Linked DNA regions of Notamacropus eugenii. The protein of the gene in region 1 interacts with the protein of each later gene in a pairwise test. Links are inferred from orthologs where the notes say so. Each region holds a gene or a part of one and is shown on either strand. Other genes may lie near its edges. The genes, in order: HOMEZ, DNTTIP1, RNF8 and AEN.

Evidence for each region.
Region 2: the proteins of HOMEZ (region 1) and DNTTIP1 interact in binary tests that used the Homo sapiens proteins (3 or more experiments, as listed by UniProt). The two-hybrid records come from large-scale screens. The link is inferred for Notamacropus eugenii from reciprocal best matches to the Homo sapiens genes HOMEZ and DNTTIP1.
Region 3: the proteins of HOMEZ (region 1) and RNF8 interact in binary tests that used the Homo sapiens proteins (3 or more experiments, as listed by UniProt). The two-hybrid records come from large-scale screens. The link is inferred for Notamacropus eugenii from reciprocal best matches to the Homo sapiens genes HOMEZ and RNF8.
Region 4: the proteins of HOMEZ (region 1) and AEN interact in binary tests that used the Homo sapiens proteins (3 or more experiments, as listed by UniProt). The two-hybrid records come from large-scale screens. The link is inferred for Notamacropus eugenii from reciprocal best matches to the Homo sapiens genes HOMEZ and AEN.

The regions. Positions count from the first base shown.
Region 1 is NC_092878.1:9,850,359-9,857,645, reverse strand, and holds the start of HOMEZ (homeobox and leucine zipper protein Homez), read right to left. Parts: upstream 3,002-7,287; 5' UTR 2,547-3,001; coding exon 2,501-2,546; intron 1-2,500. UniProt on the Homo sapiens protein: May function as a transcriptional regulator.
Region 2 is NC_092872.1:475,368,797-475,376,793, reverse strand, and holds the start of DNTTIP1 (deoxynucleotidyltransferase terminal-interacting protein 1), read right to left. Parts: upstream 3,006-7,997; 5' UTR 2,862-3,005; coding exon 2,757-2,861; intron 2,567-2,756; coding exon 2,496-2,566; intron 1,402-2,495; coding exon 1,305-1,401; intron 1-1,304. UniProt on the Homo sapiens protein: Increases DNTT terminal deoxynucleotidyltransferase activity (in vitro). Also acts as a transcriptional regulator, binding to the consensus sequence 5'-GNTGCATG-3' following an AT-tract.
Region 3 is NC_092873.1:95,060,546-95,067,372, reverse strand, and holds the start of RNF8 (E3 ubiquitin-protein ligase RNF8), read right to left. Parts: upstream 3,015-6,827; 5' UTR 2,823-3,014; coding exon 2,721-2,822; intron 1-2,720. UniProt on the Homo sapiens protein: E3 ubiquitin-protein ligase that plays a key role in DNA damage signaling via 2 distinct roles: by mediating the 'Lys-63'-linked ubiquitination of histones H2A and H2AX and promoting the recruitment of DNA repair proteins at double-strand breaks (DSBs) sites, and by catalyzing 'Lys-48'-linked ubiquitination to remove target proteins from DNA damage sites.
Region 4 is NC_092872.1:168,159,398-168,167,258, forward strand, and holds the start of AEN (apoptosis-enhancing nuclease), read left to right. Parts: upstream 1-4,848; 5' UTR 4,849-4,863; coding exon 4,864-4,898; intron 4,899-6,450; coding exon 6,451-7,084; intron 7,085-7,861. UniProt on the Homo sapiens protein: Exonuclease with activity against single- and double-stranded DNA and RNA. Mediates p53-induced apoptosis.

The DNA.
Region 1 (7,287 bases):
ACCCTGAAGTGCTTCTGCCCTTCCCTTGTGCCGCTCGCTGACGGAGGAGGAAGGTGAGGCCCGCAGTGACTGGGCCAGGGTCACACTAAGCGCGCGTGGGCGGCCGGGGCGGAGCCCTGGCTCCGGCCACCTAGCGGCCAGGCCTCTGCCCCGACCAGGTAGGAGCCTGGGAGCGCGCCGGCGGGGCCTTCCGTGGGCGGGGCCCTTCCGTGGGCGGGGCCCGGGCCGTCCGGGAGGCGGGGGAGGCGTCCCAGACACGTGCTCGGACTCGTTTCCCGGCCGAGCGGCGGCTTAACGTCACTGCGGGGGTAAGCTGGCGGGGGTCCGTGCGGTGCCGCGCTGTGCGGTGCCGGGCTGCGGGCCTGCTGTCGGCAGCACTTCAGTGTGGGAAAAGCCTCCCAAAGCTACAGCCAGCTACTAGATTGAAGCTGCATCAGTTTAGAAAAAATGATGGAAGTTAAACCAAGGCAAAGGGCTAAATAAAGTAGGTCTCCAGGTGGGCACTAAGTAAATGTTCTCTTAAAAACGTCTGGCAGCCTCTGCTCTAGATCCTCGAGGGCACGCCGTGTCACCCGCAGGGCTCTCCGTTCATCTTCTCAGACACCGCCCCAACTCGGAGCTCATCTCCAGGAAGCCTTTCTGGCTCCTTTTTCCTCTGATCATCCCAGCTTCTCCCAAGCACCCCATCTTCGTGCTTGTTCTCCTCGCACCCCCTTCCCAAGCCCTGTCGGACTGTGAGCTCCTTGGGAGCGGGCACTGCTTTCTGCTTGGGTTTCTACCTCCAGTGGGCAGCGCAGTGCCAGGCAGCAGGGGCTTAAGAAACCCATCTGGTTGACTTGGCTCTGCCGTCCCCTTGGCCCTCCACTACATAACACCTTTTCTTGTGCAGTTTTTAATTTCTTGCCATTTGGGTCCTCTTCACAGTACACTCAATTCTTATTCCTATGGAATTCTTCTTGTAACCACCTTGCTAGGTAGTTAGTAAGGGTCATTATGTTTTAAAGGGAAGGGAATAGCCTGAGGGAGATGAAATGTTTTTTGCTCAATACAGGGGCCTCAATTCTTCCCTCACAAGGGAGAACTCCAGCTTCCATTTTAGGCTCTCCTGGTCTGCTTCAGGGTCTAGAGTCCTTTTGGTTATCAGATAGCCTGACTGTAGGGAACTGCGCAAGACTGTGATGGGGTCCGTCAGGACTGTTTTTGGCCAGGAGTCTTCTTTCAGAATTTTGAAATACAACTACATGTAATCATGATCCCTGCTCCCCCTCCTGCCCACCAGTCGGTATATATTGTGTAGGTATCCTTCAAACTAAAATTTGGTAATGTTAATCATTTGGGGACAAAACTTCACCAAACAGATCCACAGTAAAGGCCCAGAACCTTTCCACTCAGGTTAGAGCCCTGGATGACATCACTTTCAGTTAGGAGGGAAGCCAGAGACATTTGTCCACGCCATGCAGTGCAGGCTTGGTCAAAGTTAGAGTCTCTGTGGAAAGGGCCACTGGATTTGTAGTCAGAAGACCTTGAGCAAATCCCTCTGGGCCTCAGTTTCCTTATCTGTAAGAAAATGAAAGGGTTGGACTGGATGACCTTTCTAGTTCCATTCCAGCTTTAAATTTGTAGTCTAGAGGATAGGACCTAAATGAAACAAACCTGGATTGACCAGCAAAGACATGCCACTGTGGCTCTAAAACCAGAATAGAGGGTGGAAAGGAAACAGATTGTGGGGATTTCCCCCAGCTACTTAGCCCTGGGCAGACTATTGCATCTTGTTTTTGTGGCTCAGGAGAGGTGGAAGAGCTAGCTCTGGAAAGACCAAGGGAGGGTGGGATGGCAAGTGCCTTGTTGCTCCCATCTTCTGCCTCTCCTTGACTCCACTTGGGGTTTTCTTGGCAAAGAAACTGGAGTAGTTTGCCATTTCAGTCTCTGGCTCATTTTACAGATGAGGAAACCAAGGCTAACAGCTAAGTAACTTGCTCAGGGTGACGCAGCTAATGTCTGAGGCTAGATTTGAATTCAGGAAGAGTCCACAAGGGGGAAGGGAGCACAGAGACTCCCTCTATTCTTTTAAAAATTATTTCCCATGGGAGGGAAGAGAGAAAATGGAGCACAAGAAAGACTGGATTGACTGAAGCAGTAAAGGGAACAAAACCACTTTTCCTATGGCTAGAAATGAGTATGGAAGCAAAGCGGATTTTTCCCTCCCTCAACTTGACCAGTTCTCTCAGGTTTGTTCAGTTTTTTTTTTTTTTTGCTCATGCACTTTGCACATGAGTTTGGTCAGATTCTATTGGCCACGAGTATGCTCTCTCTGATTGCGTGAAGGGACAAAGCTAGTGGAAGCTGGAGAAGCTACTTGTAATTTTTAGAATAGTGGCCTGGGACCACAAAAGATGAAGCTGGGAGGAACTGAGCAGTGTGGGGGGAGGCGAGGGGAGAAAAGCAGGAGTGTGGTGGAGAGCCTAGGAGGATCGGGCGTCATGAGGCTGTCCCCACTCACCTCGCTCTGAGGCTCTGCTCCTCATGGTGGGTTTATCCTTCAGCATATCAGACTTTACTTAAAAAACCTTGGTGGGAAGCGGGGACAAGCTGTAGTGACATCACAGCTCATTCATTATGATGTAACTAGGGCAGGCCCCAGGGCCTTCCAGGGGTAGGAAGATTCTGGCCCCAAAGCTAGAGTCAGTCAGACTGTACCACCACCAGGATGGATGGGGGAGGAGACTTGAAGGTTTTTGTCCTTTAAGGTGGTGGTGGTGGTGGGGGAAAGCTCATTTTCTTCTTTTATTATTAATCTACTCTTTGCTGTCCCATTCCAGACAGGGCAGAAAGGCTTTTATAGCTTCTCTATATCGTTTCTTATCTTCCCTGTTTCACGCCTGCCTGTAAGATGACCAATGGCACAGAAGGATGTAACCCTCAGGGAACCCTTCCCCTCACTAACTCAAGATTTGGGGGTTGCTTTAAAGAAGAATTAAACTGAGCTCTTTTCCCAAGGTGGTTCCTGTGACTAGTGGCAGCTGTTGATATATGTAAAAAAGGACTCCAAATTTTCCACTATTGGCTTTTCCACTGCCTGAAAGATCCTGGAAAACCACTAGGGTAAGTGTCCTACTATGACCCTTAAACTTCTGCTACCTTTCCCCACTCCATTACACCCTCACCTTGCACAGGTTTACCAACCAGGAGCAAGGTTCTGATGGGACTTTGAAAAGTCAGCTGTTTTGGTAGAAGGGTGCTGCCCCATCTGACAAAGGGGATGCCTATTTGCCCACTTTTTAACAAAATCCCCTCTCCCAGACCCAGAACACATCTGCTTATGCAGGTGTTTGAGATTCCATTTTAATTCTATTTTTTATTTGTTAGAAAAATGTTTTCTATCTGGAAAAGAGGTAAGGGAAGGTGTTGTGTTCAGATGGGTGGTCCCGAATCAGGCGCAAGATCGTAAAATAGAGAGGTTGGGGGCATACTGTCATGCTGGAACTGGAGGCATACAGTGTTATGGGATGTGAGGGCACGGGTGAGGATGCAAGTATACATTCAGCCGATTTTAATTTCCTCTTATCTGCTGCTGTTAGAATCGTGGATTCAGAGCCTTCAGACAACTTCAGTTCATTATTATCTCCAGTAAAATGGAAGGCAAGGGCTGAGGGCAGAGGAAAAACTCATCAGTTCATTTTACTACTTCTTAACATTATATACCCCATTGTGAACATTGTAAAACTTTTTCTCAAACTATCAGACCTTTTCCAAGCAGGCAACAGTCTCCTATTTCAATGGGAAGACGGAGGCCATCCAAAGGGCTCTGATTTGTTGAATGGAATCAGTATATCCTACTTCAGAGAAATTGCATCCCCAGCTACTTGCAAAGGCTGGTCTTTTTAGTTGTGCCCTTGACCCCTTTCACCCATTTCTTGTATTTCTCTATCCCAGCTCCTTCCAGGACCTTGTTCCAGTAATTGAACCAACTCCCTTGCCCCAAAACACACACACACACCCTCTTTATCTCCACTGCTTCATTCTCACAAGACTATAAACATGGTCAAATCTTTCTAGTCGCCCCCTCCAAATCTTTCCTTCACTTTTCTAGCAAATCCAACAATTACCCCATTTATTTCTTTCCTTTCACTGCCAATATTCTGGTGGATCTATGATTTTACTTCTTTGGGCAACTCCTTCCACTAATCCAGATTATAAAGCACACTTATAATTCATTATAATACAGTCTTTTCATCCTGTGCCATTATCAGTTAGTTTCTTTACTTAATTCTTACATAGAGGCATTCTTTTGGTTCACTACCAATCTTCAACAAAAAGTTGTTTATATCTGATGTTTCTATACGAACCATTCTCCACAACCCCTTACATTTTTATGTCCTACACAACTCAACTGCAAGTGGCCTCTCAAAGGTGTGACTTAATGCCAAAACCTAATGACCTTTCTTAGCCCTGTGAAATTGAAAATTAACTTTTAATTCTATTTGTTAAAACTTAACTAAGCCAGCATAGATTTAATACTTTCTTTCCCAGTGAGTCTAAATCCCTTACACCTTGCAAGTGTACTCAGGTAATCTCAGGTCACTTTGGTTTAGTTTGAAGACTTGTACCTCCACTCTGGTAACTTGACCTTCCCTCCCCCTTTCCCCCACATTCTGGAGAAACTTGCATGGTAAAGGTCAGGCTCATCGTTCACAACTGCCGTAGCAACTCCCACTGCCTACAGACTGACGTCATCACTTGAGAATTGAGCTCATTTTCCAGTGATGTAATGGGGGGGAGCTGAGTAAACATTCATCCCACCTCCTCCATGAAACATCTAGACCATCAGAAGGCATGCCTGTGTTGGTCGAGATTTTATTGTCATCTTGTTAATCACTATAAAAGAGCCGCCTGTCCCCAACTTGAGGTCTTTGGCTATTGAGGATCCATTTTATTGGCAAGTGCCAACCTTTCTAATAAAGGGAACACACTTAGAACTCTATTGCCTCATGACAGTACTCATATACCTTTACTTCCAGGTAACTGTCCAGTCCCTACTGGATACTTTCTCTTCCCTTGCTTCTTAGACATCACAGTGTTCTGATTCTTTTCTCTAATGGCTTAGAATCATAGAATTTCAATTGGAAGGCTCCATCTCTCTCTTCTTCCTGACCCTTTAAGGAAGGTATTTCTCAGTCCTTTTCTCCCTACTGCCTCTCTCTGCACATCCCTTCTCTCCAATGTGGTCCTTACATAAATGAATCCCAGATCTGTTTCAAGCCCTGACCATTCTCCTGAGCTCCACATAGCTATCCTCAACTACAAACTCATTCCACATGCTCCAAAAAAACCCCAAAACCATTCTCTCTTCTGAGGACTGTTTTGTCACCATCTTTTATTTTTTCTTTTTTACCTCTTCCACACCTCTCACAGGCCAACCATTATCAATTGACTCTTTTCTGTAGCATCTCCTGCATCTTCTCCAGTTCCAGCATTCCTAACCTAGCTTAGGCCTTCATGATTACCTGCTTAAATGTTAATAGGTCTTTCTGCCTCTGCTCTCGTCCTTCAAGCCATCTTTTCCCCCTACTGCCAGATGTCTGCATTATGCACTAATCTAGTTGTGCCCTCCTATTCAGAATTGTTCAAAGCTTCCTTCTTGTCTGTAATCCAAGGTATCACTCTACCTTTTCTAGCTTAACCTCATATTATTCCCCTCTACATATACCATGCTCCAGTCAAACTGACTGTTTGCTGTATCTTATACTTGACTGTCTGGGGACCTTTGTTTTCACAGTTCCTTGTTTGTCATACTCTCCCCACTCCCACAGACCTGTTGAATTCCTATGTGTTCTTCATAATCTAATGAAATGTCACCTTCTACAGAAAGCCTCCCCAAGTCCTCTGCCAGCCCCCCAGTCTCAGGTGGTAACCACCATTCCTCACATCCTTTCCTGGGAACTCCCAGACCAGGCTGCAGCTCTCTAATGATGCACAGGGTTGCTTTTTCCTATGACTGCTGCTGTTATGTATCTGTCATACCCCAGACTAGATTCTGTATGTGCAGGGAGGGACCCTGCATTATCTGGATTTTGTATATTCCTCATCTGACCTACAACCACTTAGCACAATGCTCTGCACGTTTATGGTGCTTAATAAAGTCTGCTGAACTGAAACATTTAGAAAGCTTAGGAGAGGAACAGTGAAAATTCTTGCCTAAAGATAGTGTTTGAAGAGAAACAGATGTTTGATTTATTTTTACCTTTGTCAAAAAGCTAGGAGTTTGTTGAATGAGAAAGTATTTTTGGCCGGAGATTTTCTGGGGAAAATCTAGTCCTAGGAACTAATACAGAAAGAACACAGGGGACCCAAGTTACAGCCCTAATGCTACCATTAGCTCGTCTGAGTGACCTTGAATAGGTTACCAAACCTCTTCAGACCTCAGTCTCCTAACACAGCCAGACTAGACAATTGAAGTTCCCTTTTAGCTTTAACACATTTTGTGATTCTGAGAGCCAGTGATGATGAATTACCACCATCCCTTGTGAGCTATACATGAAAAAACAAGACTTGGAACCCGGAGTAACATGAAGTCAGATGGCTGAAGGCTACAATTTAGGTGCAAGTGATGGCATCTGGTAACACAAAGAAGCCCCCTTTCCAACCATCTCATAATTCTTTCCCCTCAGATCACACCTCTTGTTCAAAACGAGTGAATGTGTGCCCTTTCATTATGGTACTACTTTCTGTTGCTTGGCATTTTCTGTGATATATTTTGTCACATTATTAATGTTTGAATAGAGAAATAACCTAACCCCTGTACTTTCCTTTTCACTGTACTCTGAAGTCTCTTCCATTGTAAGTTGGGCCGGGCCAGCCCTGGGAAACTAGTGTATCACTCTGGGGATGGTTGGTGTTGCCTGTCTTCCTGTTAAGGATGTGGACAGAAAGTCAATGGGTAGCAAAGTTTTGGAAGGAGAAGGGGGTAGGTGTGGGGGAAGATAGATGTACACGTTGACATCTTTTGGGTGGCAGGATTGGTGGAATCCATGGTGCTGCTGCGTGAAATGTGTGCATGGAAGGGTATGAGGACAGAGAAAATGAGAATTCAGTCCAGGAGGTAGTGGGGTTCATCTTCTAGTGCTCAGGCAGGGAACAGCACAACCCCAAGAGAGCCCTCCCAGAAAGCTTCAGAGCACTGCGGTGCATACCACACTCCTTTCAGAAATGTACAGCAGGCATAGGAATACTGACTAACCCAGTAAGGAGAGAAACCAAGTCATCAGTGCGGTTCATGACTACATGTAT
Region 2 (7,997 bases), on another chromosome or scaffold:
CCAACAGCTATCAAAAATGAAGATAGTTATCTTGAAGGGAGGGGGTTCTTCTTTGATGGAGATCTTAAGCAAAAGTTATGGAGTAAATGCTCTCTCAGAGACAGACTGGACAAGGAAGGCTGAGTACCCAGTTCCCCTCAATTCTGAGATTTAGTAACCTCTAAAAATCTGAGACTTTAATGCTAAGTCCTACATCATACGAGAGGTGTACAACAGCAATGGAATTCATTACCACAAAAAGCCTTGCAGGTAGACAGAAGAAATAAAGGGCTTATACAAGTGAATCAATGACAGAGCCATAAATAGCTGTGGGGTATACTTCAAAGAATCTAAGAGTTGAAAGGGATCTCTGATTGCATCTAATATAAACTGTTCCTCAAAAAGAATCTTCACTATGACAGACCAAGTGGTTGCCCAAGACTCCTCCTGAAGATGTCCAGTGACACAGATCTCACTACCTATTTTCTAGGGGAGTCCATTTCACTGCTGGATAGCTCTAATTATTATGAACTTTTTCTTTATACTTAGCCCAAATCTGCTTTTGCAGTTTCTACCTGATCTAAGTTCTGCCATCTAGGGCTAATCAGCACATCTAATTCCTCCTCTAATTCCTCTTAAATTCAGTTCTTTCAATGATCCCAGATAGTTACCTATCTATCCATCCCTCCCTCCATCTGTGAAGCTACTTCAGAAAATTTCCCTTCTTCAAGCTAAAAATCTGTAGGCTCTTCAAACTATCTTTTATGGCAGAGTTCTCAAGCCCTTTGGAGAAGGAAATGGCAAAGTACTCCTGTATCTCTGCCCAAAACAACCCCAAATGGAGTCACAGAGAGTTAGGCATGACTGAAATGAACAACAATAATTACTCCAGGCCTTTTACCACACTGATTGTCCTCATTTGGATGTGTTCCAATTTGTTGATATCTTTCCTTAAATGGGACTCACCTAGATCTGAATCGGGCATGGGACATCACCTTTATTTCTGCTATCCTTTAAGGTTGAAATCGGAGAAGACAACCAAACCTTCCCATGGGACATTCCTGAGGGCTATCAGCAACAGAATAGTAGGACAGATGGACTGCAAGTCTGACCCAGTGTGAGAATATTTATATCCTCACCAGATGTTTTCTGATGATTATTTACTGGAAATGTTGGTTGAGAAGATTTTCTGACATATATGAGTTGGATTAGGTGGATTTTAGGGTCCCAGGAGGACTCAGATTCTGATGTAGAAGATTAGATCCAAGCAAACAGGGTGCGTCTGTTAGTATTTCCCTGCCCATTTTTCCTCCAACATCACTTACCTTCATGTACTTGTTGAAGACTGTCTGAATTTCCTCATTGATGCTAGGTTGTAGGACAGCTCGAAGTAGGTCCATAGAGATGGCAGGGTCTGTGAAGCTGCATTTCAAAAAGGGGAAAAATGTCACACTAGTTACAAATGCTTTATTCATCTTTGTCCTGCCAGGGGCAATGACTCTTGTCATAGCTTGTCTTATATTAAATAATCCTTAAATAAATACCTGACCTTAAAGATGAAGGACTTCTAACATGGTCAATCAAAAAATCAATCAATAAACATTTAGAGTTCCTATTACATTTACAGTATTATAAATTTAAGAGACAGTCCTTGCTCTGAAAGAGATTATAATCTAGTTTGGGAGATATAAAATAGGCATAGCCTAGGGTTTATATCTAACTATCAACTCTGGGATCTGTCTTGGGAGGGAGCTGATCCTGGAATATAAATAAACTAGGCTTTACAGACTACAGACTTTTGGCTCTGATTTCTTCCAGACCCAAATACACACGTGAAGTTCTGAAGACTGGTCAATGATCACCACAAATGCTTGGCAGAATCTAGAAGATTTATGTTAAGGTGAAGGATTTTGACGCGGGGAAGATCATGATCGACTTGTTTAATTCACTAGCTGGCCATTAACTAACCCCTGATGATCTTACAATCTTCCATTTTTTGGGAACATTGTGGGGAAAAAACATGTTAAGAGTAGAAAATGCCCTTAGAACCCATCTAAGTCATCTCATGCTCCTAGAATCATCCTTAATTTACAGAGGGAGAAATAGAAGTCTAGGTAAGGTCTAGGTCTGACTTGCCTAATGTCAGAGGTCTAGAACTGGAATGTACCCAAGAAACTAACTGGTCCAAATACTTATACTTTCATCTTGCAGAGAAAAAACTGAGGTCCAGAGAAGACAAACTTTTGGAAATCACCTAGAGAAAAAAACCCTCTCATTTTACATCTTTATAAACGGAGGCACTTTGTTTTCTAGATCTTCTCATTCTACATCAGTGCCCTTTCTTTCACGGCACACAGGGAGCTGGGTCCGCCCTCCTGACCTTCTTCAGTGGTCCATTTCCAGCCTCCAACAAGGAAGACTCCCCGTTTCCTCCCTCCCCCGCCCCCCCAGCAGTGAGGGCTCCGGGGCAGCTGGTGCTGGTGCCACCGCAGCGTCCCCGGGTCCAGCGGGCTCACCTCGTAGTCATCTGGGAGCGGCGGCCCCTGCGCTGCACCTGCCGGTGTTTGATCATGATGTTCCAGGGGTTCTGCGGGAACCAAGGCGCTGGTGAGCCCCCTGCGCCCCCGATCTCGGACGACGGAGGAGGGGTTGGGGCTGGGCAAGGGGCCCTTCTCAGGCCTAGCCCCCCGCTCCAGCCCAGCTCCCTGCCCCGACAGGCCTCGACCCGGCCCGACCCGAGGGGCCCGTGCCCACCTTCCCCGAAGCCCCTCTCTCACCGTGACCACCAGTTGCCCCGCCGAGCCCTCGTCTCCAGGCTCGGGCCCGCCCCGCTCCGCTCCACTGGGGCCTCGCGGCTGCTCTGAATCCCGAGTGGCCCCCATGCTCCCTCCCTCCTGCACCCGGCCAGGCCGCCGCCGCCACCCCAGCCGCTGTCGCCGCTGCAGCCGGGGGTCCGGCCCAGCCCCTTAGCCACCGGCCGGAAACGAGCCCGTCACACGTCATTGCGCCGCGCCGCCCCGCCCCCCGGAAGAGCGACGCGGCAGGCGGCGAGGTTGCCATGGGAACCGAGCGGCGCGTGCGTCCGGGAGCTGGAGAAAAGGGGAAGAGGGAGAGCAGAGGCTGTTGGGGTCCAGGGCGGCTTAGGGTGGGCGTCGGCCGGGGCTTCTGCGGAGGGTGTGGCTGATGGGACCCCCCCACCCCCACCCCCGAGCCTGCGGGTTTAACTACGAGGGGGGGGGGGGGCCGGGCGGTTGGTAGTTTGAAAACTGAGTTTCCCTAAATGCCCCTGCGCCCGCGGCCGCGGAGAGAAGCGTCCCTGCAGGATCTTGGGCGAGTCTCCTTCCTTCTCTGGTCCTCTTCGTCCTCGTCTGTAAAATGAACCTGGCTAGTTGGGGTGGGTTTTAAGATTCCTTCCGTCTCTGATATTCTTGAGTTCCTGGGGTCCAGGACTTGGGAGGCAGGACACCTGGGTTCTAGGCTGACCTCCACCCACTGTGGGCACGTCCTCTCCCTTGTCTGCCCGTCTCGGTTAGAGTCGCTGTCCATGAGGTGGGATCTCGGAAATGCCTTCCAGCACCGAGGGTCTAAGGTAAATCAGCCTTGGGGCTGAACACCTCGACCTCTTATCGGAGTGATTCACCCTTAGTAGGAGCTGAAGCCTGAAGAGTAAGTCACGCCTTTTGGGCGGGAAGGAGAATCCCTCTGGCCTAGATACCAGTGATTTGGGGGCCTGGCTGGGAATGTGGACCGGACCAGCCCTTAAATACCCAAGTGAGGCATTTCAAGAGCTTGAAGACAAATCCTACAGACTCATGGATGGGTTTACAGCACAGAAAAGATTTCACTTTTCACAGAAGGTATGGCACTTTCAGGAATTGCCTCTAAAGCCAACACTGGTTTTTGCTGTTGCAGGAGAAAGATTCCTTCAGGCCTTGGATTTTACGGTAGTTTTCACTTGAAGTTCTGAGTTCCCTTCTTCTGTTAGGATTCTTTCAACAACCTAGTAAGCCCTGAATGCCACCGGCAAGGCTGCAGAATGACTATGGGTGTCAGGGGTGATCAGGCAAGCACCTGACTTGAGATCCAGTTTGTATCCTGGCCTTGGCTTTGCCATTAGCATCTAGGTATATGTCTCTCAGGGTTTTAGTTTTCTTCTTAGTAAAATGAGGAATTTGGACTAGGTAATCTCTGAAGTCCCTTCTAGTATTGCTATTTTATGGCTTACGTTCTAAGATTCCTTATGGTTCTGAAATTTTATGGTTCTTGCAGTGACTGACTAAACTAAGGCATGGGCAGGATAGAGAGGAAGTAAGAAAGGAGAAAAAAGGGGAAACAAAGAGGGAGATGTTACAGAGTGCTACTAGCAGTTATTGGCACCCATAGTATTGATGTGGTTTGGGGTAGCTGGGAACCCTTAAATGTCAGGGTACAGAGTGAGTCTGCCTGGAAAGAATTCAAGCACTCAAGCCTTTTTTCAGTCAGAGGAGCAAGGTTTATCCTAACACCAATAGAGAGTTAACACCCATAGAGTACACTAGATTCTTAAAGAATCTGCAGCTTGATAGGGGGTGAGATTGATACTTAAATATAAAAAAAGACCAAAGATTCTGATGGGATTAAGGTATGGCCTGGGGTGGGCCAGGGACAACAGTGAAATGGTCTAGATGAGATTAAGGAGGAGTAAATAGCCTGAGATGGCGGCAGTGAACTGAATTAAGTGGTCTGGGGTGGGTCACAGAGCCACAGTGAAAGGACTATTGAGATCTAGGTGGGCAGGACTGGGCCAGATGCCTCTGGCAAGATGCCAGGGGCTGGGTTGTGTGGGAAAATTCAGGGTCTAGGTCCCATCACACCATCAGTATTGTTTGTTTTTAGTCAGTTTTTACTCTTCAGTGACCCCTTTTGGGGTTTTCTTGGCAGAGATACTAGAATGTTTTGCCTACTCCTTCTTTAAGCACATTTTACAGATGAGGAAACTGAACCAACCAGGGTTAAGTGACTTGCCCAAGGTCACACAGCTAGTAAGTGTCTGAGGTAAAATTTGAACTCAGGTCTTCCTGACTCCAGTGTTCTGCACACTGGACCACTTAACTACCCCTACTCATAGTGTGGATCCACCAATTTCTTCATTTGTTCATTTGTGGTTGAGCTTAGAGAGATAAAGACGATGCTTGTCATTTTTTAGCCATTGACTGTGGACAACATTAATGCTTTCTATAGCTTTTTAGGAGCCTCCAAATTGTAACTTTGCTCTTTGTTTTTAGGGTTCTCAAGTTGACTAAATCCTGATGTATTTGATTTGCTTTTGGATGCAACTTCATTAGAGTGGGTCTCTGCATCTTTCTAACTATTTCTTTTTTAGTATCTTTGCTTCCTTCTCTGGACAGAATGAGAAGCTTGAAGGGGTGCTAGGTTTAGGACACAATGAGTTTGCTTTAGCCACAGCCCCATTGCTAGAGTGTACTGTTTCTTTAAACAGACTTGTAGGCTTGCTTCTCTTTGACTCTTTCTTCAGTCATCCATAGCGCCCTCACCAGCTGTCCATTGTAACACTTGGAAAATGTGTTAGGCTTTGAGGCTGAACATACTGTTACCTGTTATTCTCCCCACGTCTGTTCTTTGTAAATACAGTTTCCTATCAGGTCAGAAACCAATCCATTTTTTTTTTTTCCAATCAGGAAATTTCCCTGGCAGTGCATTGTATAAAGAAGGTTCTGGGGCTGAGTTCTGGGAAGTTCCTAGGTTCTGGCCTCTCCCTGAGCTGTTTTTTTGGGGAAACTTTAAAGCTGTGGTCCATGCTGCGCCCCCACCCTTATCCTCAGGCAGCCTCTGCCCCATCATGGTGCTTTTCATCTTTGGTACTGCGGTGTACCAAGTAATTGGGGGTGAGTGCTCAAGCACTTTGTTGCCTCCTTTTGACTACGACCAGTTTTCATCCTCTTAATTTTTTTTTTTAAGTATTGGTTTTCTTTCCCATCTCCTGCTCTCTTATCTCTCAGTCGAACAATTTAAAAAAAAGAAAACAAAAACGCCCCCAAAATATGCATAGTTCAGCAAAACAAATTCTCACGTTGTCCAAGTCCAAAAATGTACGTCTCTTTTTGCATTTTAAGTCCATTTTCTCTCTGGTGGGAGGTGGGGCCATGTTTTATCTTCAGTCTTTTGAACTTTTGCCTTAACATTGCGTTGCTCAGAGTTTTAAAGTCTTTCCAAATCCTTTTTTAAAAAATGTTGTATAAATTGTTCTAGTTCTGCCTACCTCACTCATCAATTTATAGAGACCTCAGTTATTTCCGAAGCTGTCCATTTTGTCATTTTTGTGGCACAATAAATATTAATTTTCTTCATATACCTTAATTTGTTAAGCCACTCTCCAATAAGTGGATACCCACTTAGACCCTAATTTTGGAATATTATCAAAGAGCTTCTATAAATATTTTTATACATGTAAATCCTTTTCCTCTGTCTTTTTTATTTTTTTTTAAATTTTTTTTTCAGAATAGACCTAGTAATCCATGGCTGGGTTATAGGGTTTAACAGTTTAGTGTCTTTTTTTGTGCATGCTTTCAAATTGATTTCTAAAATAGCTGAACCAATTCACAGATTCCCCAAGAGCTCATTAGTGTGCCTATTTTCCCAGAGCCCTTTGAACATTTGTCATTTTCTTTTTTTAATCATCTTTGCCAATCTGCTGAGTCTGAGGTGGACCCTCTTGAGTTGCTTGAATTTGCATTTCTTTAATCTTTAGTGACTTGGAGAATTTTTTTCATATGGTTATTGATAGATTGGATTTCTTCCATGGAAAACTGCTTTGTTCCTATTTTTTTGGCTATTTATTGAAAAATGGCTCTAGTCTCATAATTTTGAAGTAGTTCCTTCTGTATTTTGGATAGGGCACAACACAAATATACTGAAAAGATTTTTCCCCCCAGTTACCTATTTCTCTTCTTATTTCATCTTTTTATACAAAACCTATAAAATGTTACATAATGAAAATTATTCATTTTTTCTTGTGACCTTCCCTCTTTGTTTGATCATGAACTCTTCTCTCCATATATTTGAAAGATAATTTCTTCTTTGCTCTTTTAATATGTTTGAAATATTCCCTTTTATGTATGTCATGTACCCATTCAGAATTTATCTTGGTCTATACCTAATTTCTGCCAAACTGCTTTCCAGTTTTTGCATCAATTTTTGTTAGATATTGAGATTTTTATCCCAATAACTGTGGGAAACAAGGAAGTTCTGTTTCCACAGTTTGGGGTGATCAGGGTTGTGACCTAGCATGGTCAGGTAGAGGTCAGAAACTTGTGCACAGGCTTGATGAGCTGTTTGAGGGAAAGCCTAGCAGAGAAGAGAACATGAAGTCAAGTGGCAAGGGACAGGTGGTGATAGGTCCAAAAATTCGGAACAGTATAAGAAGCTTCCATTGATCTGAACAAGTTGAATTCTTCCTATAGCCTTACTGGGAAGCTATCCGTTCGTAATGAACATAGAAGGCACTCCCTCCTCTGAACTCTATTTTAATAAATTTTTCTTGATACCTTTTTGTGTGTCAAGTGCATCTCTAATAGTAACTAATGTCTTCGAGTTTATCAAATACTGTGCCCTTTTATTTTTTTGCTTCTCTGTGTTATATATCTAATCTATTCCGCCGATCTACCTCTGTGTTTTTTAACCACTACCAAATCATTTAAATGATTGCTACCTTATGGTGTAGTATGAGATCAGGTATTGATAGGCCCCCTTTCCTCCCACTTTTTTTCATTATTTCCCTTGAGATTCTTATTTGTATCCTAGAAAGAGATTGGAAATATCCCTTTCCCTATCACTGCATTTAGTTTATGCTATGTTGGAATTAATAGTTTTTTTGAATACTATTCATTGTAAATCCATCTGGTCTTGGATTCTTTTTCTTTGATATTTCATTTTTGGCTTGTTAATTTCCCATCTTTTTCCTCATTGTACATTTTCTTAATTATTTTTTTTGTGCTGTTTACTTCATGCAAGTTATAATT
Region 3 (6,827 bases), on another chromosome or scaffold:
CAACCAAAAATATAAAAAATTATTCCTCCTCCAATACACATTAGTTGTGTGAACCACTTAATTTCTTTGGACCTCAGTTTCCTTATCTGTAAAGTGAGAGGGTTGGACTTGATAACTCACCTTTCTAGTTCTAAATCCACAAACCTATGATTAAGCAAATGTGGCTTTATTTTTATTTATCTTTTATTAATGAACAACTTCACCCTAAGTTTATATTGTGCTTTGAGATATTAGCTAATCACAGCATGAAGTTAGTATTATTAGAATGACCTTTAAAACTAAGCTTCTGTTGCCAGAAACAATGTATGTCACTTATAAAAACTATCTGCACACTTAAATTTGCAAATTTTACAGCCTATTTAGAAATCTAGCAAATTAAAAGTTTCAAAAGGTTTTCAACTCATTTGTTAAAAAAAAAAAAGAAAGGTACTATCTTCTGAATAGTTTGTAAGAATTGACACCAGGGAAGATGGAAGTTATTAATAAAACAAATTCAACAAAAACTTATGAATAATTGTCGTGGCTGGGTTTGGAAACTGTGTTTCTTGATTTAGCAAACATAACCAAATGAAGCATTTCTTCCATTCGGATCGACAATATCTTTATATGAGGTTATCTTTTTCAGCTATGCCAATCATTAAGATAAAGTATCAAGATACACCACAATTAGCACTAGGCCCCTGTATCACAATCTGTTTAACCAAAATGTATTGTTAAATAAAAATTTGAAAAATTGTTTATTTCATCTATCTCATTTTTTTATGTTTTGTATGTTTTATAATATGTCTATATGCATACAGTAGTATGCAAATAATTTATAAATACACAAATATAGGGGTGCTAAAAATCCCTTTCCAGTAGAGGTTTACAAAAAATATATAGTTTGAGTTCATTAGCACAATGGATAGGAAATGGGCTTGAGAATCTGTAAGACCTGGGTTCAATTTCCTCTTCAATCTCCTAAATACTGGGTGTGTGAGCGGAGCAAATCACTTCTCAGCACCTACCCACCTGCACTGGTAGAGGGAGTTTCTTGAGGAGAGCTTCTTATGCTAATAAAATCATAGGTTTAATCCAAAAACAAAAATGCTGAGTCATAGATATATTTAAATCCACAGAAACAAATGAGATCACCAAAGGTAATAGAAGGGAGCCAAACAAGGGAAGCAGACTCAAAGGTCTAGGTAGAAAAAGAAAGAATAGGGAGAACCATCAAGGAAACCAGAGGATGAAGGAATATCCAAGAAAAGAGGTGGCTGACAACGTGAAAAAATGAAGAAAATTCAAGAAAGAAGCCTTAGAAGAGGCCATCAGACTTAACAGTTAAAAAAGGTTATTTGTTTAGCAGTTTGAGCAGAATGGCAACGTCAGGAACCAAAGAGAAGCGATTTGAGAAGTGAGGTACTGAGCTTTTAGTGAGGCAATGAGTTTTTCCTAGGAGCTGGGCAACAAAAAGAGAAACAGAGTGTTGTATGTGTCTGGGGGTAAAAAAGCAGGGTTAAGGGAAGGACTGTGTAACATCTGAGCATGTTTTTAGGCACAAAGGAAAGAGCCAGTGGATGAGGCCAATATCCACCAAGAGAATAAAAGATGGACTAAACTGCTGAGGGGCAAGCTCCGGCCAGGTGAAAAGGAAAGGGCTCAAGAAGGGTAATATTTGGCAAGCAGAAGTGTCACTTCCTTGTAAGAAGGTATCTGAACTGTTGCCATGGTCTAGTGATCTCACCTTTGCAACATCTTTCCCATCTGTTCCCCTTCTCTCCTACGACGCTGTCATAGTACAAGACTCTCACCACCTCCTATCAGGACTACGGCAATAGTCCGCTCGTTGATCTTTTTCCCACAAGTTGTCTCCCCCTTTCAGTCTATCTTCCACTAAGTTGTCAAAAGTGATCTTCCTAAGGTATAGATCTGATCATGTAAACACACCCCTTGTTCTCCCCCATCCCCATAAATTCCAGAGGCTCTCTATCATCTCCAGGTTCAAATATTAAATCTTCTGGTCTTCAAAGCCCTTCACACCCTAGCCCCACCACCCACTTTTTTATTCTTTTTACCACCACCCCCCCTTCTTCCCCCTAATCCCCCACACATACAATTCGATCCAGTGATACTGTACTCTGTTCTGCCAAAAAGACACCTAGTCTCCGGACCCAGGGCTTTTTCACTGGCTCTTCCCCAGGCCTAGAATTCTCCTCCTAGCTTCCTTTAAGTCCCAACTAAACTCCTATCTTCTACAGGAATCCTTTCCCAAGCCCTCTTAATTCTGGAGTCCGCCAATTTCCTTTTTATCCTGTCTAAAGTTTGCATGTTGTCTCCATTAAGACTGTGAGCTTCCCAGCGCAGAGCACGATGCTCGGGACATAGTAGACACTTCATAAATGTTTACTGATTGACTATGAAGGGATCTAAGACTGGGGTGGGGGGTCGAAAAGGCTCATCATAAAACAGGCACTGATTTTCTTGCCTCTCATTTCACTCCTCTAAGGCCACCCCCTCCCTTCCTTCTCCCGGCAGGGCAGATTTTTTTATTTTTTGCCCCGCTTCTCCCCCTCTGCTCTTTCAGCAGGACACACACTCCCCCCCCCCCCCCCTCTCCCTCCGGTCCTGCGGAGGCAGACACACTGGGTTCACCCCCCGGGCGGCCTCATCTCCCACCCCACCGTCCTGGGGCCTCATTCTCCTCCCTCGGCCCGGCCAGGCCGCCCCTCCCCCCTCACCTCGCTGCGATCCTCGAGCAGCAGCCACTGGGCGTTTATCCCCACCCGCCGCAGGCACCAGGCTCGGCGGCCGTCGTAGTCACCGCCACCGGGATCCCCCATGGCCGGCCAGGCCGGCACAGACCCAGGCCCGATTCCGGTCTCGGACCCGGACCTAATCCCGGCCACGCTCTCAGTCAGCACAGGGCAGGGCCCCTGCCGGGCCCCCGGGCCCGGCCGTCCCTCCTCTGCCTGCCTCCTGGAACCTCTGGCTCCGCCGCCGCAGCCATGTCTAAGTAACAGACCGAAGCAATCAACGCTTCCGGCCTACGCAACTGCAATCGATTCCACGGACGCTCGAAGGCCCCGGCTCCCGTTCCCGCCCCTCCCCGCCCCAGTCGCGGCACGTGAGAAAGTATCAATCCTTCCCTTACGCTCCTCTTCCCCCACCCCCGCCCCGTGAAAGCACTAGCGCATGCGTCCTTGAGGCATTAAGGAGGTGGGGAGGGAAACGGGAGAGAGGCGGGGGAGCCGTGGGGGCTTCTCGTCCTCTGTTGTCCCGGGTCGGGAGGCGGGGTCTCCTCACCAGCTGGCTGTTCTCGGTGAACTTCTGCTTGTAGTCAGAGCCACAGAGCCGCGCTGATGTTCTCCCAGCTTTATGGAGAAAGTAAAGTTGCGGCTGAGACATTGTTACATTCGCTGGATGCCTAATTGCGGTGCGAGAAACTGACATGCTGGGCCCAGACAATGAATGGGGGAGGGGGAGGGGAGAGGGGCAAAGGGAACAAACGTTTATTAATCGCCTTCTGCGTGCCAGGCACTTTGTAAAGCGCTTTACAAACATTTCATATAAGTGCTTATTGTGTTCATGACGTTTGAATTGTATTGATTCAAAAGTTATTTTTAAAATTATGAGCGTTTGGTAGGCTTAACGTATTTACTTTTAATAAATACACTACTTGGAAGTACTTGTACTTTATTTCCAAAATGATGTTATTTTATTCCAAAACAAAAAGAATCAGTTAAGCCCTTACTTTGTGTTAATATACTGGGAACTAGTATTTCAAAGACAAAAATTAGAAACCTTTCACAATACATTTTAAGTGGAGTTAAATAATTTATGAGTCTTCTCAACCCTGAAAACAGATGATCAGAGTCTCTTTTAACTCCGAAAATACCAAAGAGCTCACACAAGTTATCCCAACCATAGTTAACTCTGGAAAATAAAATAAGACCAAAGAGCTAACAGTAGTTAAAGCAGAAAAGCATTTTTTATTTTGTTAGAAGAAGGAAACTAGACACAGGTGCCTGGGGCCTCCTCTGATACAGAGAAAATCTACCTTAGTGTGGTCAAATCTCAATAGATATAGTAGTGGTTAAGCAGTGAGCTGGAGCCCGGACACTGAGGAGTAACTACAAAAGTGAGACACGTTTGATTCGCAGCAGGGCTTCCTGACTAGAACATGAGTCCTGCAGGTGTTTGTTAGAGCTCAGGTACCAACTTGTGCTGGTGTGAAACAGTTCTGGAATTTTGTTGCAGATGTGTTCATCCAGAGGGTGAGCAGAAAGGATTGTTGTTATGCTAGGCTCAGGACACAGCTTGCTTGCTGGGCCTTAGCACTGGAAAACAAGGTTGTCTCCTAAGAGTAAAGAGAGGGGAGCAAAAAGAGAGCGCTGGTCTTGGCATGCGGATCCTGACATTATCATGCTTCATATGTTTATTGTAGAGCTCAGCTGTAAAATTAGGGGTTTGTGTTAGATGATCTCCAAGATCTGTTTCAGCTCTAAATCAATAGATCCAAACTTTATTCCTCCCCCCAAAAAATGGACATATAAAACCTGTGACTTAAAATTGCTTATCTTTTTTAGTGCATAACTTTTTTTCCTTTTTCAAAGTGAGGCTTAGGGAGGTAATCTATATTTGGGGATGGTTTCTGTTTGTGCAAATAGAGTATTTCACATTGGCTTCTCCTCTTTCAACGTCATTTAATCTTATTCTGTCCTTATTGAAACAGAGATAAGGGCCCCCTGGCAGGAGTGTGCTGTTAAATGTTTAACTGGCTCTTCCAAAAAAAATATGCAAGACACTTTTAAGTTTAATCTACATTATTAACATTTTCTCCATCACTTTAGACAATCAACAAAACAATAATTCAAGCCTTTGTTGATTTCAGAGCATTTAGATGACCATAATAGGTTCTTCTTTTCCCAGCTGGCTCCAGCACACTGCCTTGGGTACACCTCATATATGGTGCATCTTTTCATACTTTGCTAAGTTAGACCCCTTTGACGTTTTTGGTTAGTCTCCTTTGCTTTTACACAGAATGTTTAACGCTGGTTTTATTAGTTCATGTCATTCATAAAACAGCAAGGCACCCTGAGAGACAGGAGGCCATCATGTGCCTCACTCAACTCAACAGAACCACCATCTTGACCACCACCTCCCCTCAGACCCAGATAGAGACAGCCTAGGACGATGAATACAAGAGCTTGAAAATAGCCATGCTTCCAGACCAGCCATCATCCTGGGAAGCAGCCCCTGTGAAGATACAGCCTGTTCACTGCTCCTGCAGGTGCTGCAGCCATGGCTACTGAAGATGCTTTTCTCACCAAAGTCCTTGTCATTGTCAAATGGTTTGGCATCAGAAACTGACAGATTTTATCAGTGGAAATGACATTAAGAAACATAACTAACCATATGCTTTGCCACTGCCCCCTAAGGATCCTGGGTCTTTTCCATCTGTCTTGGAGTTGAACCTTTCCATGAGTGTTGTCTCTTCAAGTTGAACGTGAGCTCCTTGAGAGCAGGGACTGTCTTACTTTCCTATTAGAATCCCCCGCACTTAGCACAGTGTGTTGCACACAGCAATGTTTAATCAAATGCTTTGTTCATTTGTTGTTTGAGTCATTATTTCTGAGACAGTTTTGGTCCCCTTCTTAGATTCTAAGGAGAAAGGTTCAGAGGCAATCAAAGACTACTCAGTTTGGGGAATAGCCAGAGGTGCGGTTTGGGTAGAAGGTAGACTATGTGAAGAAAAGTAATGTTAAATAAGGCTGAAAAGGTAGGTTGTTGCCAGATTGTGGAGGACATTAAATATCAGGCTAACCACTTTGCATTTTATTCTAGGGGCAACAGGGAATCGCTATTTCTTCACTTTTTTTGAACAGAGAAGCAATCTGCTCGGACCTGTATCTTATGAGTATTATTTTGACAGGTTGTGGAAAATGGATTGGAGAGAGATGACCAGGGAGGAGGCAAATTAGCAGGTTAATAACAGCAGTCCAGAGGAGAAAGTGTTGAAAGAAAGAAATGTGGCATAGGTAGAATGACAGGATGTGAGAAATGATTGGATGTTGGGGGTAAGAAGAGCATAGTATCAGGGATGATTCTATAGTTTTGAGCCTGAGCGCCTGGGAGGGTGATGCAGCATCCTTAGTAGAACTAAAGAAGTTTGGAAAGCAAGTGAGTTGACTTTTGGTCAGGTTGATTTTGAGATTGTTATAGAAATTTTTTATTTTCTTTTATTATTTGAGATTCAGGGCCATTCCTTTTTGCAAATTCTGGCTAACTAAAACCCTGTCTTAATATCAACCTATCCCATAAGATGTGAAAATTTACTTAAAGCCATAAACATTCTTTAGATAAAAAGCCCATGGAAGAATCTCAGCTGTTCCTGACTCCTTGCCAACATGTAAATCTGCCTATTTGTGAATAGAAATGTAGTTTAATCTGTAACCTCACTTAGTTTACCTGTAGAGTCTGTTTGACAAAGTTTATTTCCTTAAGGCGATGATGAGAGATCATGAACTAAGAGATTATAATTCAAGTTTGTTTGACTTTTATGACATTGGAAAAAGTATGAGCTGATGGATCTATCTTATGTTTAACTTATGTGATCTAAAAGAAATTTACAAGATTGCAATATGTAAAAGCATTATTTCTCTTGTCACTCTGATATAATTTTACCTATAAGAGGGTTTGTAAGACGTCTAGTTGGGGTTCAGGTTTTGTCTTTCTTTGAAGCATACTGTGCTTGAGCATATAAATAAAACCTAGGTTTTTTACCTTTAAAATTTCTGCATTGGGGTAAATATATACAGTATTTGGCAGCAGTAACCTACCATATG
Region 4 (7,861 bases), on another chromosome or scaffold:
CAAGGGTGGCCAGGGAGGTTGTGTCATCAGGAGGGATCCAGATCCCAATGGGAGCCAGGGATGAAGGGAGTGGAAAAGGAAAAGATTTAGGATGAAAGTATTGGTTACCTACTGAGTATCTATTCCAAGGAACACAATGGAAGAAGTGGGTAGCTTCAGAGTGGGACACCGCAGTCAGCAGTGGGGAGGGGTATATGTGAATAGATTTTGTATAATGGAGGAGGGGCACTTCAAGATGATTTGGATGGGCTGTATATGATGGGGTTGGGTATTTTTTAATCATTGTCAAATGAGTTCTGGAGAATTAATAACATCACTAGATCCATTAGTCTCAGGGTGATGACCTCTCAGGTTGTTAGGCAGCTCAGGCTGGGGACTAGTACGAGGACTTGCCAGAAAAGGTTTTCTCTCCTAGTGCTTCAGGCAAGTCAGACCAAGCCAGGAGATAAGTGGAAGAACAAGAAGGAATGACCTCTCTGTCGCCTGAAGGAAGGAAGGGTGGGTCCTCTCTAAGTGGGACAAGAATAGCCCAGGAGATCTGGGCAGATGAAATAGTATTGACCAGAGTTTTAAAGTCAGAATTGTTTAGTTTTACAGTTACTGTAATAATTAACTGTATAATTCGTTCTCCTGGTTCTGCTCCATGCACTCTACATCAGAGTGCCAGTCTTCTCAGGTTTCTGAAACCATCCCCTTCATCATTTTACTAACCCATTCTTAGCACTTTCCACACTGCTCTAGTTTATATTCCTGGAATTTAAGGCAGGTGTTAGATCAGAGCACAGGTGCTCAAGCTGTGGTCCTATGACCCCGAGAGATCCCCTAGACCCTTTTCTGTCCTTGACAAAAATTTCAGGGGCTCGATGAGGTCAAAACTATTTTTATAATAATACTAAGATGCTATTTAGCTATTAAAATACTCTTCTCCAACTACATATGTCTGTGTAAGTTCAGATTTTCTTCATTTTTTTAAAAAACCACAACAGCATATGACAACAGATGGAATGCAGAAGCAGAAAAGAGAATCCAGTTGTCTTCTATTAAGCTGACATTAAAGAGATATGCAAAAATAGGTAAAAACTACATTTCTTTTTGTTTTAGGAAACACTTTTCATACTTTCCTTCATTACCGGTTGGCTTTTGATTGTTATTTTTAAATGGATTAACGCTATTTTTAAAAATGACCAGTTTCAAATTTTAACATGGTAAAATATCAAGAGATATAATCAAAAGCTCTTGGAGATCTTCAATCATTTTTAAGAGTGTAAAAGAGCTCCTGAGACCATAAAGTTTGAGAGGTGCTGGATTAAAGCAGTGACAACTGAAACGCCATAAGGTGAGAAAGAGAGTTAGAAAGAGGGAGCTAGGAATTGTATCTGAAATTTTTATTTTAAAAAATTTTCTTTTAAAAAAATGTTCTTTTTTCTGCATCCGGGTCATTTCTCAAACTCAGTTTCCCACCCTCCCCACAGAGTCAAGCCAAACAAATCGATACACGGACCAGGATTGAAAACAGAAGCCCCGTCTGTCCCCAGGGTCTCCAGGAGAGGCTGGGAACGGCTGCAGGTCTAGATCAGAGCTCGGAAGTGTTTCCGTCTTCCTTTACTACCGCGCTAAGGGTGCCTCCGGCTCTGTTTACCGGGCTCGGTCCCGCAGACTTTACCTTTAAATCCAGCCCGCAGGTGAGGAGGACGAGCCCGGACACCCCGCCCCGTCCTCGAAGCCACGCGTCTCGCGGCTTCCGACGGCTCGCCAACGTCAATCCCGTGACCAATCAGAGGAGCGTAGGGGAGGGCAGTGCTGTTGAAGCAGCCAATCGGCGGAGAGCAGAAGCCGGGCTTGCCCGGGCATGTGGGAGCCTCTGCCTTCTGTGCGACCACGTGGGGGCCGGAAGGGGGACTTGCGAGTGTCCGGTAAGCCGTGAGGTCGGGGGCTCGGGGCCTTAGGGGAGGGAGACCCTCGGGAAGTGGCAGGGCCTCGGGGCGGGGGGCGCGGACTGAGCAGGCGTGGGGGTGGGAGGGAAGGCCGCGCCCGGAGGCCGGCAGTCGCAGCCTCTCCCGGTTGCGGCCCCCTTTATGACCTCGCCACGCGTAGAGAAAGGCCCTGGCGGGGCCGGGAGAGCTTCTGGATCGGGCTGGACCGTAGGGTCCGGGGGGGGTGGGGGGGGTGGTAGGGCTGGAGGAAGGGGCCTTAGGGGCCGTCCTGGTGAGCCCCTTTATTTTACAGAGGAGGAAATGGAATCCCCTCCCCAACCCCCCCAGAGCTTAACCGACTTATCCCAGGTCAGGGCCCGAGGCAGGACTTGAACTCAGGCCCCCTGACTCGGGGTTCAGAAAAAAAGCTTGGGCTCCGGGAGGCCAGCCGTCCAACGCCGCCCCTGCCGCTTGCTATCCGCGTGACCTTAGACAAGCCAGGTAACCAACCCCCCTGGGTCTTTGAGTGTCTTCCAGTCCGATCTTGGGACTCCACAGAACCGCAGTGCCTTCCCAGGATCTCGGCTTCCCCTCCGCTAAAACTGGGGAGCGGGTCTAGGTGAGGTAGGAGAGTCTGGGAGCTTTGACTTCTCCTGGGCCTTGTCAGCCACCCTGCGGCTCCTTGAAGGTGGGTGTCCAGTTTGAGGGCAGCCCTGACTGCGACCGCGTCCCTGGAGGCCCTCCTCTTGGGGACTCAGCCCCCATTTTCCTTCAGGCTTTTCTGTGGATGATAAAAGATTACAGAAATGTTAAAAATTGAAAGAGACTTTAGCTATCACCTCCTAATTTCACGAAGGAAACTGAAGCCTGGAGGGGCAGAGTGATTTGGCATAGTTGTTCAAGTAACAGAGTCAAGATTTGAACTCAGATCCTCCCTGTGAAGAGGAGTGCACTCAGGTCTATTTTATCATCAGGCTTCTCATTCAAGAATCATGAGTCTGTGGATGCTCCAGAATTCTGGAGGGGTGGTAGTGCTGAATTGGGTCCAGGAGCCTTGGTACTATAGAAGAAGAAAGATTGATCCAGTGACTCAATGGATCAATGACTCTTTTAATAAGACCCCTCTGGAATGTGCCAAGTCTGGGCTATGTTAGTCAGAGCATTAGTCACTCAAAGATAGGTCAGCACTAATCACAGCTTACTGTGGCTCTTGAGAGCCTATCCTTTGATGAGGTCATGCTTATTTCTTACAATTCAACCTCACCTCTTCCCTGTGGGGTGAAAAGAGGTCCTGGAGACTTCTCAAGTATCACCTAGTAACCAGAAGTCTAGAGAGTTTAAGTATTATAACAGAATGAAATTTTAGATGTCAGGATTTGGAAGGAACTTTAGAGGTTCTATCAGGGAAAAAAATCTCTGGGGTAGGAGTAAAACAGTTCTGAGTTCCAGCTCTGCCATTGTCATTGTCACTTGTGTAGTCTCAGGCAAATCACTTAATGTCTCTGAGTCTCAGTTTCAGCATCTTTTGAACAAAGGGGTTGGAAAGATGACCTCCACAGTTTCTTCCAGCTACAAATCTATGATCCTATTTGCTTAGTCCAACCTCTTAATTTAATAGATGAGGAAACTGTGCAGAGAGGTTGGTGACCAAGGTTGGTAGTCTTCTGACCCCCTTCCTCAATCTAGTGCTTTTCATGTGATCTGGCAAATTGCTGGCAGAGTCCAGAATGCTAATCTCCTGGCTCCTTGCAATCCTCTCTCCACTGGAATTCAGATTCTCTTACACTGTGTTCATGATTTGTTTCTCAGAGTCTTGACTAACTTGGATTCCCAAAGCTCTGGAACTTGGCTACCATAGTTACTCTCCGATGGTGTCTTCTTGTCCATTAGGGTTTATATATGTAATCCTACAAAGGAGCTTTAAGATTGCCTGCTAGAACTCATTCATTCTCTTCCCTACTTATAAACCTCTCAACTCCCACAGGGCCTAAAGAGGATCATGTGGCTCACGTTTTGTTTGTTTTCCAGATGACCAGATAATTGTATTGATTTTGCAGGATCAGGCACACATTGGGAAATTAATGTGTTGTGTCTGAAAATAAAGAGTATATGTTAAGGGCTCTTACCATCTCCATTCAGTGTTCTCAGGAAGCCAGTTCTGATGACCAACTGACCCTCGGTGGGGGAAAAGGGGTTTGGTCATTTCATTTCTCAGTGCCCCTCTTTCCTCATTTGCCTGATAGGAAGAAAAAGCACTGCTATCAAACCCTTTAAATTGGTGTTGTTGCTATTTTACATATGAAGAACACCAAGGTCTACCAAGGCTAACTGACTTGCCCAAGATGACAGAGCTACCTAGTGGCAAAGCCAGAAATAGAATCCAGGTCCCTGACTTCTGTCCTAGGGTTTTTCTATTATACTTGCACTGTAAATAAAATTTGAGTAAGGTCAGTCTATGCTAGACTCTTGACCTGAGGAAAAATGACTCCAAATGAGATTAGGAATTAAAATCTGACTACTTTGGTATGGGGATGTGTAAAACAAACCACCCACAAATTAGTGTCACTCAAGTGTGTTATCCTGCTGTGCCCTGCCTTTCTGCTGCTCATCCCTGTTCCCCTAGAGGAAACAGTCCAGCTCAGACTTAGAATCGGTTCCTTGCAAATACCAGGCAGGACAGATAGGATCTGAGCAGAGGCAGGGAAAAGTTTATGGCCACTGGGGTTTCTGCTTGTTCTATATATGGCCTAAGATATACCCTAATTCTGCCAGATAGGGTATTTAAAAGAAATCTTTTGAGATAAGCCCATTGTTTTAGATTCAGGGAGAATAGGAAAATCCCAGCTCTACTACCACTAACTGCTATGTGATTTGGGGCAAATCACTTTCAGGACTTCAATTTCCTCAGCTGTAGAATGAAGAGAAAACTGTCTTAAAAACATTGAGTGACATGCCTGATGTACTAAGATGTACTGAGGTTAAGAGGTAGGTGTTAAAACCAGGTCTTTTGACCTCATTTACACGTTAAAATGTTTAAAATAACAAAAAGGCAAAAATGTGGATTGGAGTATAACAACAATTTTATGATAAAGATTGAGTTAATTAGAGAAGACATCATTAGAAGAGGTGAATCCTGACCACAGTTTATAAACAAGGGATTCATTGATTGTAGATGGTAGAGAGGCAGCCTAAACCAGTAAGAATTAAAAATTTATAAAGATGAATTTGTTGGTCTGCTTCTAGATGGCAAGGAGTGGAACTACTGACATACTCTAAGTACAAGGTTTATTCAGAGCATGGAAACCATTGAGGGAAATTCCCACCAAATGATTCTAGGAGATGAGCGGCTGTCTTACTGAGCAGCCTTGAGTCCCAGTTATGGGACTGGGTTTGGGAAAGCAAAGCATATGCATAACCCAGGAAGTCTCTATCCAGATTGTAGATTCAGTGGCCCAACCCTGGTAGGGTTGCTGGAGCCTTTTGTAAAGGGATCGTTTTAGGGTAACAGAGGTCCCAGATACTTTTGAGCATCAGTCATGAGTAAAATCCTTGACCTTGGGCTCCTGCTGTCCTTGATTATAAGGACAATCCTTACCTAACTGACTATTTCAGGTAGACCCCAGACCATGTTTCCTCTTCTTGGCAGCCATCTTGCTGCCTTGTCTACTCTTGCTCTCATGACCCCTCTTCTCCATTTTTAGTTCTCAATCCATAATCAAATTAATAGTGCCTTTGCTTTTGGAAAGAGGGTGTGTTCATATAGCTCAACTCACTATATACTATTTTCAAAATTGAATGCCTGACTAGCTACCACCCCACCTGAGATGCCACAGGCTTTGGCTCCCACTCCACAATGTAAATTTTATCTTCATCTGTCCCATCCCTGGCCATCACTCCCCTTTTGTATTGTCTCCTATTGGAATTTCAACCCCTTTATGGGAGAGACTGTCTTCTCTTTTTAATTTGTAGCCCCAGAACTTAGTATGCTGTGTACAGACCCATAATAATTAAATGCTTTTTCATTCACTTATTCATGGATTACTAGAAGTTCTTTGCTGCCTGGGTCTGCACTAGTAGATTTTTCAGTCAGTCTAGCTGTTTCTTGTCTATGTGCGTTGTTCCCGTCACTGGGGGAAGGAGTCTGATCTCACCAGCTTGCATCCATCAGCAAGTTGTATGTAGGGTTTGTTTAGTAACAGTAAAGGGGAGGAGTTGGCAAACAAGTAAACTCAAGCAAGTAAAACTCAAGGGTACCAATTTAAAGGATTAGCCATACAACCATCTCATTGTACCTGGGGAAAAATCCATTCACTTCTATCTGATTTGAGTCTAGAGATCTAGGCTCCAATCTTGGCTCTGACATTTACTATACATGTGACCCTTTCTAGTAAGTTTATCTTATGACAAGGTAGTTTACTTTCTGAGTTTCAGCTTGAAGCATGTATGAAATGGATAGGGAGGGGTAGAGGAAATCCTTCCCCTGGTCCCTTCTCACTCTGATGATTACTCTGACATCTGTTTCTTGTCCCCTTCTTAGGGTGCTGAGCAATAGTGGATCAGAGCCTGGTAGAGAGATGGCCACCTACGTTCCCCTCACTGAGCTGACAGGTATGGCATCGAAAGACAGCTCCCAGTACTTTCAGTGCTCAGGTACACCTTCTACCGAATCCAGTGATAAGGACACGTCTCGGTGGTGGCACAAGAGGAGGAGCCGGCGGCACCAACGGTTCATGGCACACAAGGCGCTTCTAGAAAAGCGAGGTGTGCTGATTACACCTCAGGAGTCAGAGGGTACCCTCCAGTTGGCCAGATCAGAGGTTCTAGAGGATGCAGAGGCCACCAGGTGTAGTACACATCAGGTTACACTTGGATCACCTGGTACCCAGCCCAGAAAAAAGCCAATACAGAAGATTGAACCCAGCAAGGACACTGCCTCTGGCCATGCTATGCCCAACAAGTGTGTGGCCATTGACTGTGAGATGGTGGGTACTGGACCTGGTGGGCGGGTGAGTGAGTTGGCCCGATGCTCAGTGGTGAGTTACCATGGGGATGTTCTATATGACAAATACATCCGGCCTGAGACACCTATTGTGGATTATCGAACGCGCTGGAGTGGCATCACCCGACAGCATATGCAAAATGCTGTCCCCTTCAGAGTGGCACAGAAGGAGGTATGGAAATGGCTAGGGAAAGCCTTGTTGATATGCTGAGAAGTATTGGGGGAAGGCTTAAGATTCATACTTTCCTCTTCAGAGAATTTGGGGCAACTTGCAAATTGAGGACAAAATAAAATTGAAAAAATGGAGCAGGGAGGCTTGTGGAGTCTTCATCTGGCCCCACTTCTACCTCCTTTTTCACAGAACTTGTTTGTGTTACTAATAGCAGAGCCTGATTTCCCCTTCCACAGGTGACTTGAGCCTGGGGCTAAGAGTATGGTGTCTGACAATTATCTTGGTTCCATCCTGTGAAGGATAGTCTTGTGTCCTCGACTACCTTTTATAGTTTTTTTTTTAGGGCAAGAAATGACCTTAAACTCTTACATCTTCTATATACCCAGCAGTAGAGGCTGGTAGTATCATGTAGTGCAGAGAGAGCTGACCTCAAAGCCAGGAAAACCTAGTATATCTAATATTACATCTGACCCATATTGGCTGTAACTGAACAGATCAGTTAACCTCCCAAATTTGTAGGCAGTTCTCCAAGACTAGAAGTTGTAGAGAAGGGCCAACTTGTGTTGGAACTTGGAGTTCAGTGAAATCACAGGTCTAGTGTAGCACCTTCTTGCACACTGTTGAGTGTGTAGTGCTCAGTCCAGAAGTAGGGAACCTGCTGTCTTGCCTCTAGGCTGCAGGTTTCCCACCCCTGGCTCAATCAGTGGCTTTTGATAGGTTAATGGAGGTAGGATGAGGGGAAATCCTTACCCCAGCTGAAGAAGTTGTCCTAGGAAG